Linked DNA regions of Schizosaccharomyces pombe. Changing the gene in region 2 together with the main gene of any one other region gives a genetic interaction. Each region holds a gene or a part of one and is shown on either strand. Other genes may lie near its edges.

The links.
Region 1: mutations in opa3 (region 2) and hop1 together harm fitness more than expected from each alone (negative genetic interaction), as found in Schizosaccharomyces pombe (2 studies listed by BioGRID).
Region 3: mutations in opa3 (region 2) and syj1 together harm fitness more than expected from each alone (negative genetic interaction), as found in Schizosaccharomyces pombe (2 studies listed by BioGRID).

The regions. Positions count from the first base shown.
Region 1 is NC_003423.3:3,469,486-3,474,669, forward strand, and holds hop1 (synaptonemal complex-associated protein hop1), read left to right. Parts: upstream 1-2,833; coding exon 2,834-2,928; exon of another isoform or gene 2,929-2,976; coding exon 2,977-3,124; exon of another isoform or gene 3,125-3,168; coding exon 3,169-3,337; exon of another isoform or gene 3,338-3,375; coding exon 3,376-3,616; exon of another isoform or gene 3,617-3,656; coding exon 3,657-4,047; exon of another isoform or gene 4,048-4,094; coding exon 4,095-4,320; exon of another isoform or gene 4,321-4,367; coding exon 4,368-4,684; downstream 4,685-5,184. Other genes in the region: cullin 1 adaptor protein Pop1, read left to right, coding at 1-2,185. UniProt on the Schizosaccharomyces pombe protein: Facilitates initiation of meiotic recombination and DNA double-strand break (DSB) formation at DSB hotspot sites by enhancing the interaction between rec10 and rec15.
Region 2 is NC_003423.3:2,932,234-2,937,926, reverse strand, and holds opa3 (mitochondrial outer membrane lipid metabolism regulator Opa3), read right to left. Parts: upstream 3,237-5,693; 5' UTR 2,946-3,236; coding exon 2,838-2,945; exon of another isoform or gene 2,773-2,837; coding exon 2,615-2,772; exon of another isoform or gene 2,497-2,614; coding exon 2,106-2,496; 3' UTR 1,805-2,105; downstream 1-1,804. Other genes in the region: ubiquitin hydrolase Ubp9, read right to left, coding at 1-1,417, 1,475-1,488, 1,538-1,645, 1,690-1,716; GTPase Ypt1, read right to left, coding at 3,886-4,217, 4,377-4,473, 4,537-4,584, 4,636-4,759, 4,928-4,938; SPOM_SPBC1703.09 (uncharacterized protein), read right to left, coding at 5,508-5,651.
Region 3 is NC_003423.3:3,434,375-3,441,397, reverse strand, and holds syj1 (inositol-1,4,5-trisphosphate 5-phosphatase 1), read right to left. Parts: upstream 3,929-7,023; 5' UTR 3,846-3,928; coding exon 615-3,845; 3' UTR 501-614; downstream 1-500. Other genes in the region: translocon beta subunit Sbh1, read left to right, coding at 1-126, 177-276; plasma membrane pantothenate transmembrane transporter Liz1, read left to right, coding at 5,026-6,570; SPOM_SPBC4B4.12C (uncharacterized protein), read left to right, coding at 6,838-7,023. UniProt on the Schizosaccharomyces pombe protein: Controls the cellular levels and subcellular distribution of phosphatidylinositol 3-phosphate and phosphatidylinositol 4,5-bisphosphate. Involved in distinct membrane trafficking and signal transduction pathways.

The DNA of each region.
Region 1 (5,184 bases), 540 kb from region 2:
AGATCTCCTGGAAGGAAATAATATAATGACCAGAATTCCCGAGGAGCTTAGTCGTGTTAGTCTACAATTTGATAGCAAGGGAAGTCAGCAATCGATGATATTTACTAACAATCGATGTTTATCTGATAAAGAAAATTTGGAAAACTTGCAAAATCTTTTATATCTACATTGTGATCTTAACCGGCCCCATTTGAGTTGTGAGCTGCCGTCAGAGCATCGCGAAAAGTGCCTTAAACGCCGTAACTCTAGTCTCAGCTCTAATTTGCATGCTAATAAGCGGTTTCTCTTCAATTCTCAAAGTGATGGGAATAAAAAGAATGAAACTTTTCCTTCTACTAACTACTCGAACGTTTTCTACCCAAACAACTGTGACAGTAAGGAAGTCGCTAGTGAAACAACATTCTCACTTGATGCACCAAATAATTCTGTTAATTACTCTTATTTTTCTCCTAATTTACTCGGCAACGATTCCAAAACCCGTCAATCTTTTCCCCCTCATTCATCTTCATCTTCACATAATTCTTTGCATGAACCTGTCATATATGATTTTTCTTCAGAAAATCCTAGCATTCATCCTTCTAATCATTTGAGCTCTCAAAAAAATGCTGTTTTGAAATTAGCACAATTAATTTCTTCCTTCGAAAAATTACCCGAAAGTGTTCGTCAATACTTACTTTTTCATCTTCTTTCTCGATGTGGAAAACATGCTGTTCAAAATATTCACAAAATTCTGCTTCCTATCTTTCAAAAGAACTTTTTAACTGGATTTCCGGCTGAGATTACAAATTTAGTGCTTACGCATTTAGATGCACCTTCATTGTGTGCAGTTTCGCAAGTTTCGCATCACTGGTATAAGTTGGTATCGTCCAACGAAGAACTTTGGAAAAGTCTCTTTTTAAAAGATGGTTTCTTTTGGGATTCAATTGATAGTAAAATCCGTACGATGTGTTTAGAACAATCTTTGTCAGCCTGTGCGATAATGAAGCGGGTCTATTTTAGACATTTTAATCTTCGTGAAAGATGGCTCCATGCCCCGGAGAAAATTAAGCGATGTTCATTCCCAATTCATGGAGTTCGTCTTATTACCAAACTTCAGTTTGATGATGACAAAATAATTGTTAGCACCTGCAGTCCTAGAATTAATATATATGACACGAAAACAGGTGTCCTGATACGCAGTTTAGAAGAGCATGAAGGTGATGTTTGGACTTTTGAATACGTTGGGGATACTTTGGTTACTGGCTCCACAGACAGGACAGTAAGAGTCTGGGACCTTAGAACCGGTGAATGTAAACAGGTGTTTTATGGACACACGTCAACAATCCGTTGTATCAAAATAGTTCAAGGCAATCAAAGTACTACTGATACTGATGATGTGGAAAAAGAAAACAGACCAGCTTCAAATGATGCTAATTCAATGCCTCCGTATATAATTTCAAGTTCAAGGGATTGTACGATCCGTTTATGGAGTCTTCCATGCCTTGACGATCCACCATTTGTTAATGTAAATGAAAATCCTGATCAGAATAATGACTTTACTTCAGCTACGACCAATCCGTTTTACATCCGAACATTACGTGGTCATACGGACTCGGTACGTGAAGTTGCTTGTCTTGGAGATTTGATTGTCAGTGCCAGTTATGATGGTACTCTTAGAGTATGGAAGGCATCTACTGGCGTTTGTTTACATGTTCTTCGGGGACACGTCGGGAGAGTATACAGTGTCACAATTAATCCTTCTCGTCAACAATGTATCAGCGCTGGTACGGATGCTAAAATTCGTATTTGGAACCTTGAGTCTGGAGAACTTCTACAGACCCTTCATGGTCATTCGAATTTGGTAAGTCAAGTTACATTTAACCAAAATATCTTGGTATCCGCTTCTGCTCCTCCTGATACATCGTTGAGAGTTTGGGATCTAAACACCGGAAGTTGTCGAGATATTTTAAAATGTCCTTTGGGACACATATTTTTTCAACACGACGAGAGCAAAGTTGTCAGTGGAAGCCATAGTACGCTACAGTTATGGGACATTCGTTCCGGAAAGTTAGTAAGAGACCTATTGACTGATTTGGATATAATCTGGCAAGTTGCTTATAATGAAAATGTATGTGTGGCTGCTGTTTTAAGAAATAACCGTTTTTGGATCGAGGTCCTAGAGTTTGGATCTACTAAATCTTCTTGAGCTTTTATAAGTTGAGATACTAGAAATCTATAAAAGATCTCGAAATTTTATTTTACGTTTCCAAACTGAAATAGATTCATGCTATTTATTCTGGAAACTCCTCTATCATATAATATTTGTCTAATTGTTTGTTGACTTTTAAATGTTTACTCATAATTTTCTTTTTTAAATATCTAATAAGAATGCAAAATAATATTTTTTTAAATGATCTATTCTACATTTATAAATTATTTAGTGTTAAATTCGTTTGTTGAGGCCAAAATTTTTTTACCAAAGGGATAAGCGAATTTCTTGAATCCTTAGCTTCAAATAGCGTCCATTCTACCCAAAAGCGTACTATATTTTTATAATTAGCAAACTATAGTAAATAAAAAAACAAACATTTTAGCTTTGTAAATGTAAAAAGACATTTAATTTAACAAAAGGCTTTTACATTACTTCATAAGCTACCAAATGTCTTCATCGTAAAACATGCTTTTCGCATTCCATTTATCTATGTAAGCCATTTTAGTGTAGTTTAAAGTGTTGGAAAACCACAGGTGGGACTGTAATATACGTACACTTAAGACGCGTTCGACGCGTTCACAAAATTACCATATATAGATATCAACTTATCAAATACCCTTTACTTCTAAGTATAAATGACAAATGAATTCATACAAAGAGGAAATTCTGCAAACTAAGTCTGACTTTACTCTTAAAAATTTAATTTTCTTCGCGATATCAACATTATGCTATAAGCGGTACGCAGACATATAATTTTTAAATTAAAATAGCTAACAGAAGGCAAGTGCTCTTTTCAATGAAAACTGCTACAAGAAAGTCAATTTCGAAATTGAACATTTTAAAGGAGCTGACTTTGATTGTCAATTGAAACCTACTGTGGTTTCTTTACAAGCTGGAGTGGACAAAGAAGCAGACAGTTTTTTGGAAATGATGGTGAGTGTTTAAAACTTATCTAAAGAAATAAACTAATATTTTAGAAAACTTATATTTTCTCACTTGTATCAATGAAAGTTCCATTTACTGTTTACCTGATTATTTCGTCACAATGCAAGTCAATATTAGAGGATGACGCGGTTGAAAAGGAGATATTTTCATTTACAATTAACCCTGGAAGTGAAGAGAAAATATGTTGTGAGTCTTTTGTTTGTAAATTTTTTAACAGACTTCATGAGAGTTTTATCAAGCTTATCAACGTTCAGAAAGGTTTGTAATAAAGTTATTTTTAAGTGGTAACGTAAAAACAGAGTGCAAAGACGAAGAAAAAGTCGTACAAATTATTACAAAAATGGAACGCTTTCAATTATCAAAAGGAGAAGCAACTAAAGCTGGCGTGTTTTTAAATACCGTAGAAACAAAAGATTGCATGTCTTGGCTCAATCGAGGAGAATTCAAAGATATTGTATCTTTTTATGAATCAAACAATGGGTAAGTAAATTAAAACAAATTTCAAGTTACTAATCTATAGTATTGCGATTTCACATTGTTCTCATGCATTTGTACCGATAAGTACAGAGAAGATCATGATTAATAAAGAATCATCATTATTTGATTCTCAAGAAAAAATTGATTCTCAGCTCGAAAAGTTCCTCCAGCCTTTGAAATACGATGAAATAGGCTCAACTCAAATATTGGATGAACAATCAGTTGAAAAAAGTTTGAGTCAAGGAAAATGTGAGAAAATGCAGAATGAAAGTCGTGGATTAAGGGAAATAAAAAATAACAATCCTTGTGAAGAAGTAAAGAAAAGCAATTGGTTAAAAAAAAACATTTCAGGGAGTGACAAAGTTGACAAAGCCGAAAAGAAAAAAGCACTTTTGAATTGTGAATGCGGTGATTCGACGGAAGACTCAGAAATGGTGTGTAATCGTTTATACCTGCTAAAGACTAACAATATTTTACACAGTTTCAATGCGAAAGATGTGATGGATGGGTTCACTGTGCTTGCTATGGATTTGAGAGTGACTCTGATCCTCGCCAACCAAACCAATTGTTATGTTATACATGTTTGTTAGTTGATTCTGAATCTAGTTTGTATGACCGAATGACCATGTTGGTCGCATACAGACGAGCAATTCGGTGTATTTGGGCGTCAGAGTATCAAGGGTTCCAAAAGCTAGCGGCGCGACTGAGTAAGGAAATTTACCAACTCATTGACCATATACTAACATTATCTAAGATTGCAGCTATGCTGATGCCAAAAGAATTGAAGAAAGATTAGTTAACGAAAACATAATCTATAAGGAAAAAAAACGAAAATGGATATATTTTACGAATAAAAGCCCTGAAATGGTGTCATATCTTCGTGAGAAGTATTTTACACCGTCGCGATGGATATCTCATCTGAATTTTCAAAATTATCGTCAAGAGAATCAACGTGTAAATATGCGATCTTTTCTACGGCCCGAAAGAATGGAAGTAATAGAAAGACCAAAAAAGGTTTCTAAGACTTCAAACACTAAAGAGACAGACACCATGAAACCTCTGAGGATTTAAACTTATACGACTTATCCTATCTTCAAACAATTTGAGATGGATCAGTATTGCATCTATTTGCTCAAACTATTAATTTAAACTTACATAATATATTTATTATTAGCTATACTACATTATTACCATAAATAACATGTTCTGTTATCATCCGTTAGATATGAGACAATATTCATACAAACTCATTTTCTTGTCGTAGATAACTATGCTTACGACATTATAAATAGGCGGTAATTGAAATGAGGAATGAGGTTCAGTTATGAGCTTATACGAACATGAGATATGAATATAGACTTCATACAAGAATCATGCATACCACTATAAACTAGATCACAAGTAAATTTTATCGCAGTTCTACGCAGCGCTAAACGAATACGAAATTGCGTAGCTAATTTAAGCACTTCTTGAATTGCATTATGTGTGAATAGTGTGGTGATTTGATGTCAAAAAAAAAAAGTATAGAACGTTACACATTAGACTTGAACTTTTCCATTTGATACTGAAGT
Region 2 (5,693 bases):
GGCTTTTGGAGAAGCATCAACAGATCTTGAATGAAATCTTTCTGCATCCAGTGATGGTTCACGATCAAAATAAGAACGGCTATTGATGTCTCTATCTAAAGTTTTATGAGAATACTGCGAAGAAAATGAAGCAACCATCGGATCCATATCAGGATATGTTATTGTCGAGTTTGATCTAGGGGTACTTGATAGATTCGAAACTTCCACGCTTTCTTGTTTAAGTTGACTTGGAATAGACATCGGCTTAATTGATTCCTTGGTGTCTACTTCACTAACATCATCATCTTCTTCATCAGCAGCAGTATAAAATAGAACATAGGCAGTAGCCTGACCAGGTTGATCACCAAAAAATCGTTGTAGGTAATTCTCGTTGACAGGAGTTACGTTCTCGTCATCAAAAAGGACCCAGCCATAAGTTTTAGTGCGAACGATAGACACATAATGACCACGATGTGGACCGCCTCCTACGTGAACAATAACAGAGGAAAGATAATACATTCTTTCAGCATTCTCTGCATCTTCGGTGGTAGTAAATAATCTCATTTCGTTGGTAAAAACAATAGTATAGAAGAGTTTATCATGGCCCTCCTGGGTTTCGTTATATTTAAAACGTTTCAAATGTAATGAGAGGATTTTCGGTAATTTTTTTATCTTCATTCTTTTTTCTGCTTCCTGCAAACTTTTGCAAACATCACAATGAAACTTATTTTTGGAGGACAACATCTCTGAAGCAGAAAAAGACCTTAAACAGGAAGTTACAGAAGTGTGATTTTCTATATCTATGCTAAGGTCTAAAAAGCTTTCATCCCTTGACGTTATGTTTTCACAAGTTAAACATTTCGTCTCGCTGGTAAGCGTTCCTTCAAACAAAGAATGAACCCATTTTGGATGCATCACGTCGGAATGATTACCGTAGTATTCATCAAGAGTTTCTGTAACAGAATTAAGAAGAAAATTAAAAAACTCGTGAGCATCTTGCTGCTGAGTACTGCGAAAAGCTTCATTGTCTCTACGTAGAACTTGGATAAAACGCTCGGGAGAACAAATACCATAACGACAATCACAGCAACTTACGGAGCAATAAAGATCCTTTAAACAAGTATATATGTTTTCTTTCATTCCATAAGCAGAACAATTGCTTTCGCCTACAACGATTTGATGCTTCGTCCCGGATTCAGAGCCGACGTTACTAATATCGACACAGCCGCAAGAATTTATACCATTGGACCCGTATAAAGAGGACTTCCTATTCTCCATGCTCTTTTTCTTACTGTGTCGTGAGGAAGATGATTCAGGATGGTTGGTTTTTGTACAAACGCTTTTAAAATTTGGAGGAGCACTCGGAAGAGGATACGAATTTAAAGAATCACGAAAGGGCTTTAAATGGTATAAAGATACTAAGACAGAACTCACGTAACTATTTCGTTAGAAATTTACAATCATAAAAGCAACGCTACAAGTATGATCGCCATACCATGTATTTCCATACTAAAAATATGTTAGAGCAGAAGAAATTATAACTAATAAAAATGCTTACATTTGTTAAACCATAGAATCGATCTGTTAGGGTTTCAGGGCGAATTGATGGCTTCGGCAACTCTGCTTCCCAAGTGCTTTTACGCCGGTCAGTGGAGCCTGGGGAATTCTATAGTTTGTCAGTCTTCAATTCATAACTAACAATTGAATTACCATTCCCATCCAACGAAGCAGCGACATGCTGAGTTGAACTAAAGGATGCTAAGTTTACAAACCAAGCACAGCGGGGAAGTGAACGCAAAGGGAAGCTTTCACGCGCTCAGAAAGGGGCGTACGTTGGTGATCATAATCTTAGGCTATTATTATATTAACAGCCAACTATCTAAAATAACGAAGTGCAATGTATTGTAAAATGAGCGATAAAACTCAGTAGATATTAAGTCAAAAAAGCTATAAATAAACCGTAACTAATTTTGGAAATGTGATCTGGTTAAACGAAGTATCAAATGTACAATAAATTAAAAGAAAGTAAACATCAGTTTGGTGAAATGGGAACAGATGAATTTCTGCAATGTATCAAAATTTACTCATTAATGCAAGTTATGTGTAATCGTAGTATTCACCATCCACTAACCTGTAGAAACCGATTTGGTGTTAGAAGATGGAGGATGATCTGCCTTTTCTGAGACTGTTTCACGTGGGATTTCCTTTGAAGGAGTGGCTTCTGCTTGCTCGTTCTGACTTGGCGTGTTTTGACGAAGAGTATGGAGCTCACGTTCAACTTTAAGAATGACTTTGTGGAGTTCGTCAAAATCCTTTTCGGTACTATCAATTTCCTCAGTCGAAGATTGGAGTTCATTCTTTTTCTTCTGTAAAACAAACTGCTTTTCCATGATTTCGTTAATACGAACGATTTCATGTTGTAAACCAAGAATCGCTTCAGCAACTTCATCTCGTCTATTCTTTTCCTTTCTACGAGCCCTCCATGTTTCAAATAAAATGGCTCCTCCAGCAACAGTACTGTAAATTGTTAGCAAGAGAAGAACATTGTGACAAGTTGGATTTCGTAGCTCCTTCACAATGTGCCGTATTAAGCATTGTGGAGAGGAAGTACGTCAAATCGTATTAATTTTCATACAATATAAAAGTTTCTGATAAAAATGTTGCACCAGCATCGACTGCTTTGGCATCGTTTAAAGGTCGTAATCGTACATTAGCTCCTCCACTTTTAGCTCTGTTAATTCCTGTTATTCTAAATTCCGCGCGATGCATCCATTGAGCAAATTCAATACATGCCTATATAGAAATTTCGTTAGTAATGCTATAAGATTCTCTTTATCATCTATTTTACTGATTTATACCTTTCGGAAAGCCTTGTGCTCTTTAGCTTGGGCTTTGATTGTATTGGCAATCGGTTTGGATAATGTTCTTACTAACAAGCTTCCGATTTTTAAGGCTAGAGAAGACATTGGATTGTAGAGAAATGTTAATGGATACCAGAACTTCAAAAATATTCGAGGGGGAATAAACCCGCAAAGGATTTCAAATTACCGACTAAAAGTACTACCACCTCAATTAAATAGAGGTATAAAAGAAAGAAATCTCCGATAAAATTAGAATGCAGATATAAGCGTGTAACAATAGCTAGGATATTTATGCAAGGTCGAAGATATACTCTTCCGTTAATCAATAGCAATATTTAAAACCGCAACACCAAGTGCGTGCTTTATTTTTTTAATCTATTAATTAGAAAAGTTATTGGAAGAGGAAAGTAAATTTGATGTTGCTGAACTTGATATGCATATTCTGTCGGTTTCTCTGATTGGTTTACTAATCCTTCTTACACCGATCCCTGTGTGTGCTTAATATTTTGCTTGTATTAGAAACTTTAGTGTCGCAGTTATCAATACTTGTCCTTAGTAGTACAGTTGTATTTTCATTTCTTAATGTAACGTACATACCATTCAACCTTTGACTTACTATTATATATTTGATTTTTAGTTAATGACTTTTGTTAGCGAACCGTATGTTATGCAAATAGTTCCAAGCAACTATAGTTTTAGGGAATACTGTAAAGTGCTAGTTAATGAGCAATACGCGTATTATACAACGTTTACAACAGTTTATCATATCACGCTACAAAATAAAGTACATAAGACTAGCAGTTTTCTACATAGCTTTGCTTAAGATTTTAAACTACCGTTGATAAAAGGGAAACGTAGCATGCATCCAAACCTACAAATAACTTTCTATAAGTATCGTAAAAACTCAGAAAGTAGATACCTAATATTAGCAGTTCACCGTCAGCGAATGAAACTCACAAAAGGAATGACAGCGAAGTACGTAAAACGTATGTATATAAAAATATATTAAAAGCGCATTCAGAGGTATAACCAACAAACATGTAGTTTAGCAGCAGTTGCTGGAACTTTGGGAAACGTTAGTGCCCTGACCAACCTTGACACTAGATTTGGCATTGGAAGAGGCAAATGTATTATTTCCCATACGTTCCTTAATTTGACGGGACATAGTTAAGAAAGCTTGCTCAACATTTGTAGAATCTTTAGCAGACGTTTCGAGGAAAGGAATATTCAAACTGTCAGCAAACTCCTTAGCAACAGAATATTCAACAACCTTCTTATCAACCATATCTGACTTGTTTCCTACAAGAAGACGATTGACTCCTTCAACGGCATATCTATCTATTTCCTGAAGCCATTGCTTAACATTGTTGAAAGAATCTAAGAAGCAAGCATTAGCCTCGGAACCGCGTCGGAAACAATGTGAAGACTAGAAAACGCCATAAAAATATCCCCCAAACGCCTTATAACGCATATACGCGCATATACAGAAAACGGAAGACAATCAAATTGGTTTTCCATACTTCACACATTACATACCTTGATCGGTAACATCGTATACGATGATAATTCCATGAGCTCCACGATAGTATGAGCTAGTAATTGTACGGAAACGTTCTTGACCAGCGGTATCCCACTATGATAAATCGTTAATAAAAAAATATCCCGGAACGCCAACGAGAAGTAAACTATCACTTACGATTTGAAGTTTAACAGTCTTTCCCTCTAATTCAAAAGTTCTGATTTTCTAAAAAAAGTTAGCAATAAATATGGTTAAGCTGCTTGAAAACGGACGTACAAAATCAACTCCGATAGTAGAGATATAGGATTCAGTATAAGTGTCATCGGCAAAACGTAGAAGAAGGCAACTCTTACCGACACCAGAGTCGCCAATAAGTAAAAGCTTAAAGAGATAGTCGTATCTATTAATATTAGCATTCATCTTCTTACGGTAAAAAAACTCATTACCTATTGATTAGCAATTATATCGCCCAATTTACAAGAATTCTTTAATTTTGGAAAGAAAATACTCTATAAATTGTTAATTTCTAGCTCCTGATGTATTGAATAGTATGCTAAATCCTTACTACTCTGGATTCATCGTATATGCACAGTAATGGCGGACGTTCTGTTGCTCGCTTCAGTCTACGCATATACCAACGCAGCGGAGTGGGGGACCCTACAGCCCAAAGAATGCTCACGGGCAAATCTTTTACTATCATGCTGCTAATTATATTAAGTATCGTTATTTCGTTTAGCGTATCTTAACTTTCCGTAGTATTTCATATGTTTTCAAAACAAATATATTATATGTGCAGACAAAGGCTTCACTCAAGTTAATTAATATAAAATTATAACTTTTTGTAGTTTTTACAGTCAATCTTAAATTGTAAATATACTTAACTAAAATCCATACTGTACAAACGAACGCCAAAATCGCGACTACAATAGTACATACTTCCTTAAAAACAGAGAAAATAATATGTCATAACGGAAAAAAAAATACTTGAAAAAGTAAGAGTAACAAAAACATGAGTCTTTTCTAGATTTTGATGACAGTTAAGTACGGAAACATGTATATTTATGTCAAGACTGTAGAGTTGCCAACATTAAAGTAAGGGGTTCAAATTAGAAGAGGTATAGATATAATAATGTACAACATAAAGAAAATTAATAAAATGAGATATAGCTCGGATTTGCGAATCGCTTTAAGATAAGGTAACCGGAACGAATTAGATTTATGACCAATCTTGAAGGGGTCGTATTCATGAAATAACAAGCAGCTAAAAGCACCAAAGAATTCTTAAAGAGTAACTAATTTGTTAAGATAAGAACTTCCAAAAGAATATATTGCAC
Region 3 (7,023 bases), 500 kb from region 2:
TGCTGCTGTTGAAAAGAACACAAAAGAAAGTAACTCTGGTCCTGCTGGAGCTCGTGCTGCTGGCGCTCCTGGTTCAACCCCTACCTTATTGAAATTATACACTGATGAGGCTAGTGGATTTAAAGTGTAAGCCGTTAAACTCAATCATTATTAAGGTTTTTCTAACGTTAATTAAGTGACCCCGTTGTAGTGATGGTATTAAGCGTTGGTTTCATTGCCAGTGTGTTCTTGTTGCATATCGTTGCCAGAATCCTTAAGAAATTTGCTTCAGAGTAATTTACAGTTTCTAAAAATTTAACGTTTCACTTGGAAGAACTTCAAATACCATCTTTTACCTGTGAATTTTATGATTAGCTGACTGAATTGAGCTATCTATACATTTACGGCATTAGTAACATAGGTTGACGCCCATAAGCAGTAGTTCTTTTAAATATTTGTAAAGAATTTCTAATAATGTACATGGTGTATGTTTCATGGCATCGTATTGCCCTTTTAAGTAATCTGGAGCAATGGCGGTGTTTATATATTGCAATGATAAATGTTTTTAAAAATGGCAGAAAAGTATTTGCACCTAAAATTAAAGCCGTCCAAGTATATTACGAGAATTTTAAAGATTACACAAGCGGTTTCCAAGAAATACTGCTTTCTTCAGGTGAAGAAGCAAGTAAATCACCGCTTCGTTGAGAAGCAGAAGACTTGCGAGGAGGAGGAGTGGGAGGAACATTAACGGGTGTCAAGTTGGGTGCCGGTACACCAGAAGAGGAAGAACCAGACCGAGGTGGAAGCAATGGTTTTACCCTTGGAGCAACCAAATGATCTGGTTTAGTTGGCTTGTTGGGTTTAATGGGAATAATTGAGGTTGAGCTGCGTTGAGAACTAACACTGCTTCTGGCCAACGAAGAAGGTGCCGGGCTTAATGCGGGGATACTGTCTATTAATGACGATTTCTTATCAAATGATTGTTTTGTGTTGGATATCCAGTCGGGCTCTGCGGTAGGCTCAAAGGGATTGATAGGACGCGACGGATTTAACCTATATTCTGGGCCTGGAGGAGCAGCTATTGACTTCGCAGGGAGACCATCATCAAACCACCACTTACTACGTTCACTACTTGGTTGCTTAATTTTGTCAACTCCATTGGCAGGAAGATGGGGAATTAAATTAGGTTTACCCGCAACAGACCCAGCAATATCAATCAGAGTATAAGAAGTCTGACTAGCATCTCTAACTTCCTGCTTTCTCTGATTATAAAGCTCTTCAAACAGTATTTTTTTCTTCTCTCTATCAACTTTAACAATGTTTGCTTCATATGTGGCATAAATGGGTCTATGATCGGAGTAGTACAAAGGTACAGATTGATAACTATGGGGAACTAATTCTCCACGATATAAAATACGATCGGTCCAGGCAGGAACTCTATGCTTATCCGAGGTATCATATATGTCTGTTCCTATGTCAAATTTGTACGTAGGAGGAAAGGTAATCGGTAACTCTGAAAAAAACGGAAAGACTTTTCCGGTAAGCATCTGCTTATTTAATTGATCGTATTCAAAAAGGTAACTTAACTTCCCTTGCGCGATACAAGGTACGACTTCTTCATATGTCAATGAAATACGATAATTAAAGTCACCAAACCATACCACATAATCGTGATTGAATATGGAACGACCACGCCTAAATCTTAATCCACTAGCAATAGTTCGATAGTCATGATCTCTTTCATCGTAATTTGTGTAACCCGCTGCTAAATGAGAAGTAATAAAACAAAGACCGGTATCTTCGTAATCAAATCGGATGGCAACAGCACCTTTGTTTCCGGAAACTCCACCAAGACCAGTTTTCTTAACCGTTCCTTCCACGTTCTTGATACTGGGCAAACATGACTCCTTACAAAATATCATTAGTGCTGTACCAACCAGTTGTCCAGAACGTAATTGAACATATCCAGGTCCAGATGTACATTTACCGTTTAATAAGCGTTTGACACATGACTCCCATTCACGACGTTTGGCTGGGTCAGCACTTATTACTTGCTGCGGAGTTAATTGCACTATTTCTTGAAATCCAACCACATAGATGTCTGCCAAAGGTGTGTTTTCGGGAAATAACCAGTTTTCTAACTTTGTAGTAGCAGAACATCCATTCAAGTTATAACTAGCAACAAAAATTTTGACATTCTTATGTTCAGAAAATTCGTTTTCTCTTTTTCTCAGCTCATGGTTAACATACTCATGAATTGGATCATACAAAATAACAGGATGTTGGTCAATTAATCTGCCAAGAAGCAAATCAATTGTTTCTTGTCGCCCCTTATCTTGAAAGTTATTGATATACATTCTGCCGACGCTTTTAGAGAGATCATTAAGTGCACCCGCTATACTTAACTTTCCCTTTCTAGTGAAACTAGATTTAAGTGCTCCTGTTCCGGTGTAAATGCGAGCTAAGGCATCACCATTATTTGCCCAAATCGTTGAATGAACTTGCCAAAAATCATAACCAGCATTTTGCCGAGTATATATCATAACTTGTTCTAAAAACACTCTTGAAACAAGATTCTGAATAACATTTGTTCGGTCTAAGCAATCCAAACAATTGGTGCGAAAAACACCATCTTGTACCACAATGGATTGTCCTTCGTTGTTCTCAAAATAAAACCCGAAAGTTTCTGCATCGCTATAAATCATTGGGCGTATTTTATTGGCATCTTCAAAGGATCTAATTTGAGAATGATAGTCAAACTCCGTTAAATGTATTAAATCTTTTTCCGGAGAAAGTTGAATATGCTGTCTCAGACGCTCAGATAAACTGCGTTCTCCCGAACCTGTCCCTAAAAGATTGATTATGTGCACTGGTCCGTATTCTTCAATAAGACTGGTAAAGTGTTTTTCAAAAGCAGCTCGAGTTGCTTCTAAAGAGCGAGTTATATCAATTTTTTGACCAAACATTTGAACACCTTCTTGTTCCCAAAAAATTGGAATACTGCCACGGACCTGACAATAGCTTACACAGTATTTAGAGGAATCGAGGATTGTCTCCGTCTCAACAAAGTTAGCAACGTTTCCATCATCATCTACGCCACGTGACAAGAATCGGGTACCAGCGCGAAGCGAAGACAGTCTAGATATTAAAGAAAGCCGAATAGTCTGAATTCCTAACTTAAATTGTTCGGTGCTCGCAAAACCTCTGATGGCACATGTAAAGAAGCGACATCCATCCAATGCACTCTTTTCATCCCCATTCAAATGGGAGCGAAATTTGATCAACTGTCTAAGCATAAATTCGTTCCACATAAATTGAGTATGCATGCTATCATATTGAGGCTCCGTCATTGTTTGAGACGTACGAAGTTGCAGTCGGGTAGTAATGTCAAAATCGAGAGAAAAGTAAAATGATCCATTTGTTAATAGCTTTCTGAGACTACTGAATGGTTCAGCGGCATACTTGTAAGAATCATAGCCTTGGGTATCGGTATCGTAACCATCCGGAATATCAGGCGAGTAATTTTCTTGTCGAATGTGATCCCAGTTTGAACGATTAACACTGTAAAAGCAGACCTCCATGATACGAAAAACTCTTTCTTTATCTCGCACACGTGCTACCTCACTAGCTCCACTAATCACGCACAAAAAATTGGACCCTTCTAATTCAATCAGACCTAGAGTACCATAAATTCGATGACTGGAGATTTTTCGAAATCCTTCTAACGGCTTTTCTGACAATGCCGTAAATTCTGCAACACATACTGATAAAGAGTTTTTGTTCTGAGGAACCGAATGAAACATAAGAGCATGGTCCTTATTGACTAAGGCCAAGGATCTTGGCTTTTCCCTCAGCAGACATTGCATCTTAAGATTCACAAATGTGAACTATAAATAATAAAATTCGTTCTGTAATGAACGATGCAAGTCTTTACCAACGATGTTTGTCCGAACAAGTTATAAATCTTGGGATACGAAGTTGGGTGGTGTTGGGTGACAAAAACGTTCGTTACTTAAACATTATAGAAGCGCTTCTGTAAATTAGAATAAGTAAACGGCTTATTTTAATTTACTATGTTAAAATGTATTCCAAAAAATTTTGGTTCTAATATATGGAAGTTTCTGGTCAATTTTTAAAGTGCATTTGCTTTACAAAACTCGTAACCCTTGTAAACATATTTCATTGATTATGGGTAGAAAACCATTGAAACAAGAAAATCATAAGAGAAGCGATCTTGCTAAAACGTAACGTAACAGGATTTCAAGGCACTTCCATAAGATTGGTACTGTCAAAAAATGTATTATAATTCACTTTCGTTCATCAACAGTGCCATTGTTAATTTCAAAAACACCAAGTTGCACAAGAATACAGCGGTTACTCCAACGTATTAAAAATAAAAGTCAAACAGATACAGTATTCGGCAGAAAAAACCCCCATCTTAAGAGCTAAGATTATTTGAGCTCTCCGAAGATGTTCGCTGACGCTGAATAGCTTCAACTATGGCAATTTTTTACATTTCAAATGTGTTGGTTACTGTAATAGTATGTTTAATCTCGCAAATAGTGGTTATTGTATTGTAGCCACTTGAACCGAATGCTTATTAATTGAAAGGTTAGATGTTTTTTGCAATACAGTTAATTTCCACAAATAGAGCAGCAAAGTATAGTACTCATTGTGGCTACGTCGAGAATAAGTATCCAACTTGCTAGCCAATTCCGAGTAATCAGCGCACATCTAAAAATTAAGATTGGGTTTCCGGCATTGATATTGTCACTTTTTAGAAGGCTCGATCGATACTTATAATCTTGATTTTTCAGAAAAATTAAAGAAAAAATTTTCCTGGCTGGAGCATATTGATATTCCAACAGTCTGCAATTCGATTTTGACTCGAAGTGTTTGTTCCTTGCTTAGGTCCCTGGCTTTACTTTAATATAGGCACTTTTCATGAGAATCCATTGAAATTGTACGTTTTCTAAAGCCATAAAAATTTAAGTTAGGTCTCCTCTGTAAATTGTCGTGAATATTTCATAAGTGAGACAAGTCGTAATGGCGTTACTAAATAGGTTGGCAAAAACCTTTTCCCCTTATTATGGATTAAACAAAGTTGAACAAAAGCTTTTAATAAAAATAGATTGGTTCATACTTTCTTACTGTTGCGTTTCATATTTTATTAATTACTTGGATAGATCATCAATAAACAATGCATACCTTAGTGGTATGCAAGAGGATTTGAAAATGCATGGTAATGAATTGCAAGATATAAACGTTGTTTTTACATGTGGATACATTATAGGACAATTGCCAGGTTCTTATGCATTACAGAGAGTACCAGCAAGACTTTGGTTTTCGGTTATGAATATTTTATGGGGACTTATGACGATTTTTTCATTTGCGGTACATTCCGTTCGAGCATTGATGATTTTACGCTTTTTCATGGCGGTTGCGGAGGCATCTACATTTGCTGGTACGCATTATATATTGGGCGCATGGTACAAAGAAAGTGAACTATGCAAACGTGCCGGAATTTTTTCAGCCTCTGGTTTAGTCGGCACAATGTTTGCTGGGTATTTGCAAACAGCAGTTCATTCATCATTAAATGGTAAAGGTGGTTTATCTGGTTGGCGTTGGCTTTTTATAATTGATGGCATTTTGACGATTCCTCTTTCATTATATGGGCTCTTTCTGTTTCCTGACGTTCCAGAAACAACCAAGGCTCCTTATTTTACAGAACAAGAAAAAGAATTAAGTTTCAAAAGGCTACCCGCTCGCCCCAAGAAGAAGCCATTAACGCTAAAAGCGATAAAGGATATTGTACGTTCATGGCGAATTTACGGTTTGTGCATCCTTTGGATTTTTAGCGGAGAAACACAAGCTATAGCTGTCAATGTATTGATGGGTCAGTGGATGAAATGGAGCAACAAATTTTCTGTTGCCCAAATAAATAATTACCCAACTGTGATTACAGCTGTTGGCGTAGTATCAACGTTAGGTGCTAGTGTTATTTCTGATAAATTAGCTGGAAACCCAAGATGGCCTTTTGGACTTTTTCTGTGCGTAATTACTACTGTTTCTGCTACAATACTTCTAGCATGGAACGTGCCAGATGGCGCAAAATTCTTTGCTTATTTCGCTTCTGGTTGTACATATGCTGGACAAGCAGTTTGGTTTTCTTGGGCAAATGACATTTGCCGGGATAATGATCAGGAAAGAGGAGTTGTTGTGTTTTTGATGAATATGTGTCAGAATATCTGGCATATTTGGTGGGCACCTATAATGTATCCCAATACTGATACGCCTCGATTTATAAAAGGATTAATTGGTTTGCTGGTGGTAGGAGGAATAGTCTTTGTTAGCTCTTGTATTGTTAGTTACATGCAAATCCGCGATAAAAGAATTAAACGATCCATCCAGGATGCAAAAGATTTCGATGATGTATTCACTGAGCATGAAAGTTTAGAGTTAAAAAAAATAGGCAAAAATGATGAGGAATCACTCAACACAACTAATGCGGTCAAAGAAATTAGTTCTCCAGGGCTTGTGATAACGCGACAGCGAATTTCCATGCCAAAAGAAACGAATGCCCAAGATTAGTACTAGAAGATTAATGACATAGTATAAATATTCCTTATGCCTTTAAGTACACATTTAGAGTAAATTTGCTGTTCATATTGATATCAACCTAACATAAAAATTTACCACAGTTGGCTCATCTAATTGACCAAGCCCTTTGACGCAAACGCAAACGAATACCTTTGCACACATACTCAAAAAGAATCTGCTAACAAACGATTTAAGGTGCAGCTGAAGTTAAAAATTTATAACCATTAAATAGAAATACCAACTATACGTATAGTTTGGATGGTATCCGGCAATGATCAACAAGTTATTGAGTATACATCAGTCCTAAAGGAATTTAGCGATGGTGTAGACTTAATGGAGCTAAAAGAAAATTTTTTATATATTAGGACTAGAGAAAAAATTGAAGCTAAATTAATCTGGGCAGGAGAGTGGGAATGGAAGCCCGTGAACGAAACAAATGAAAAT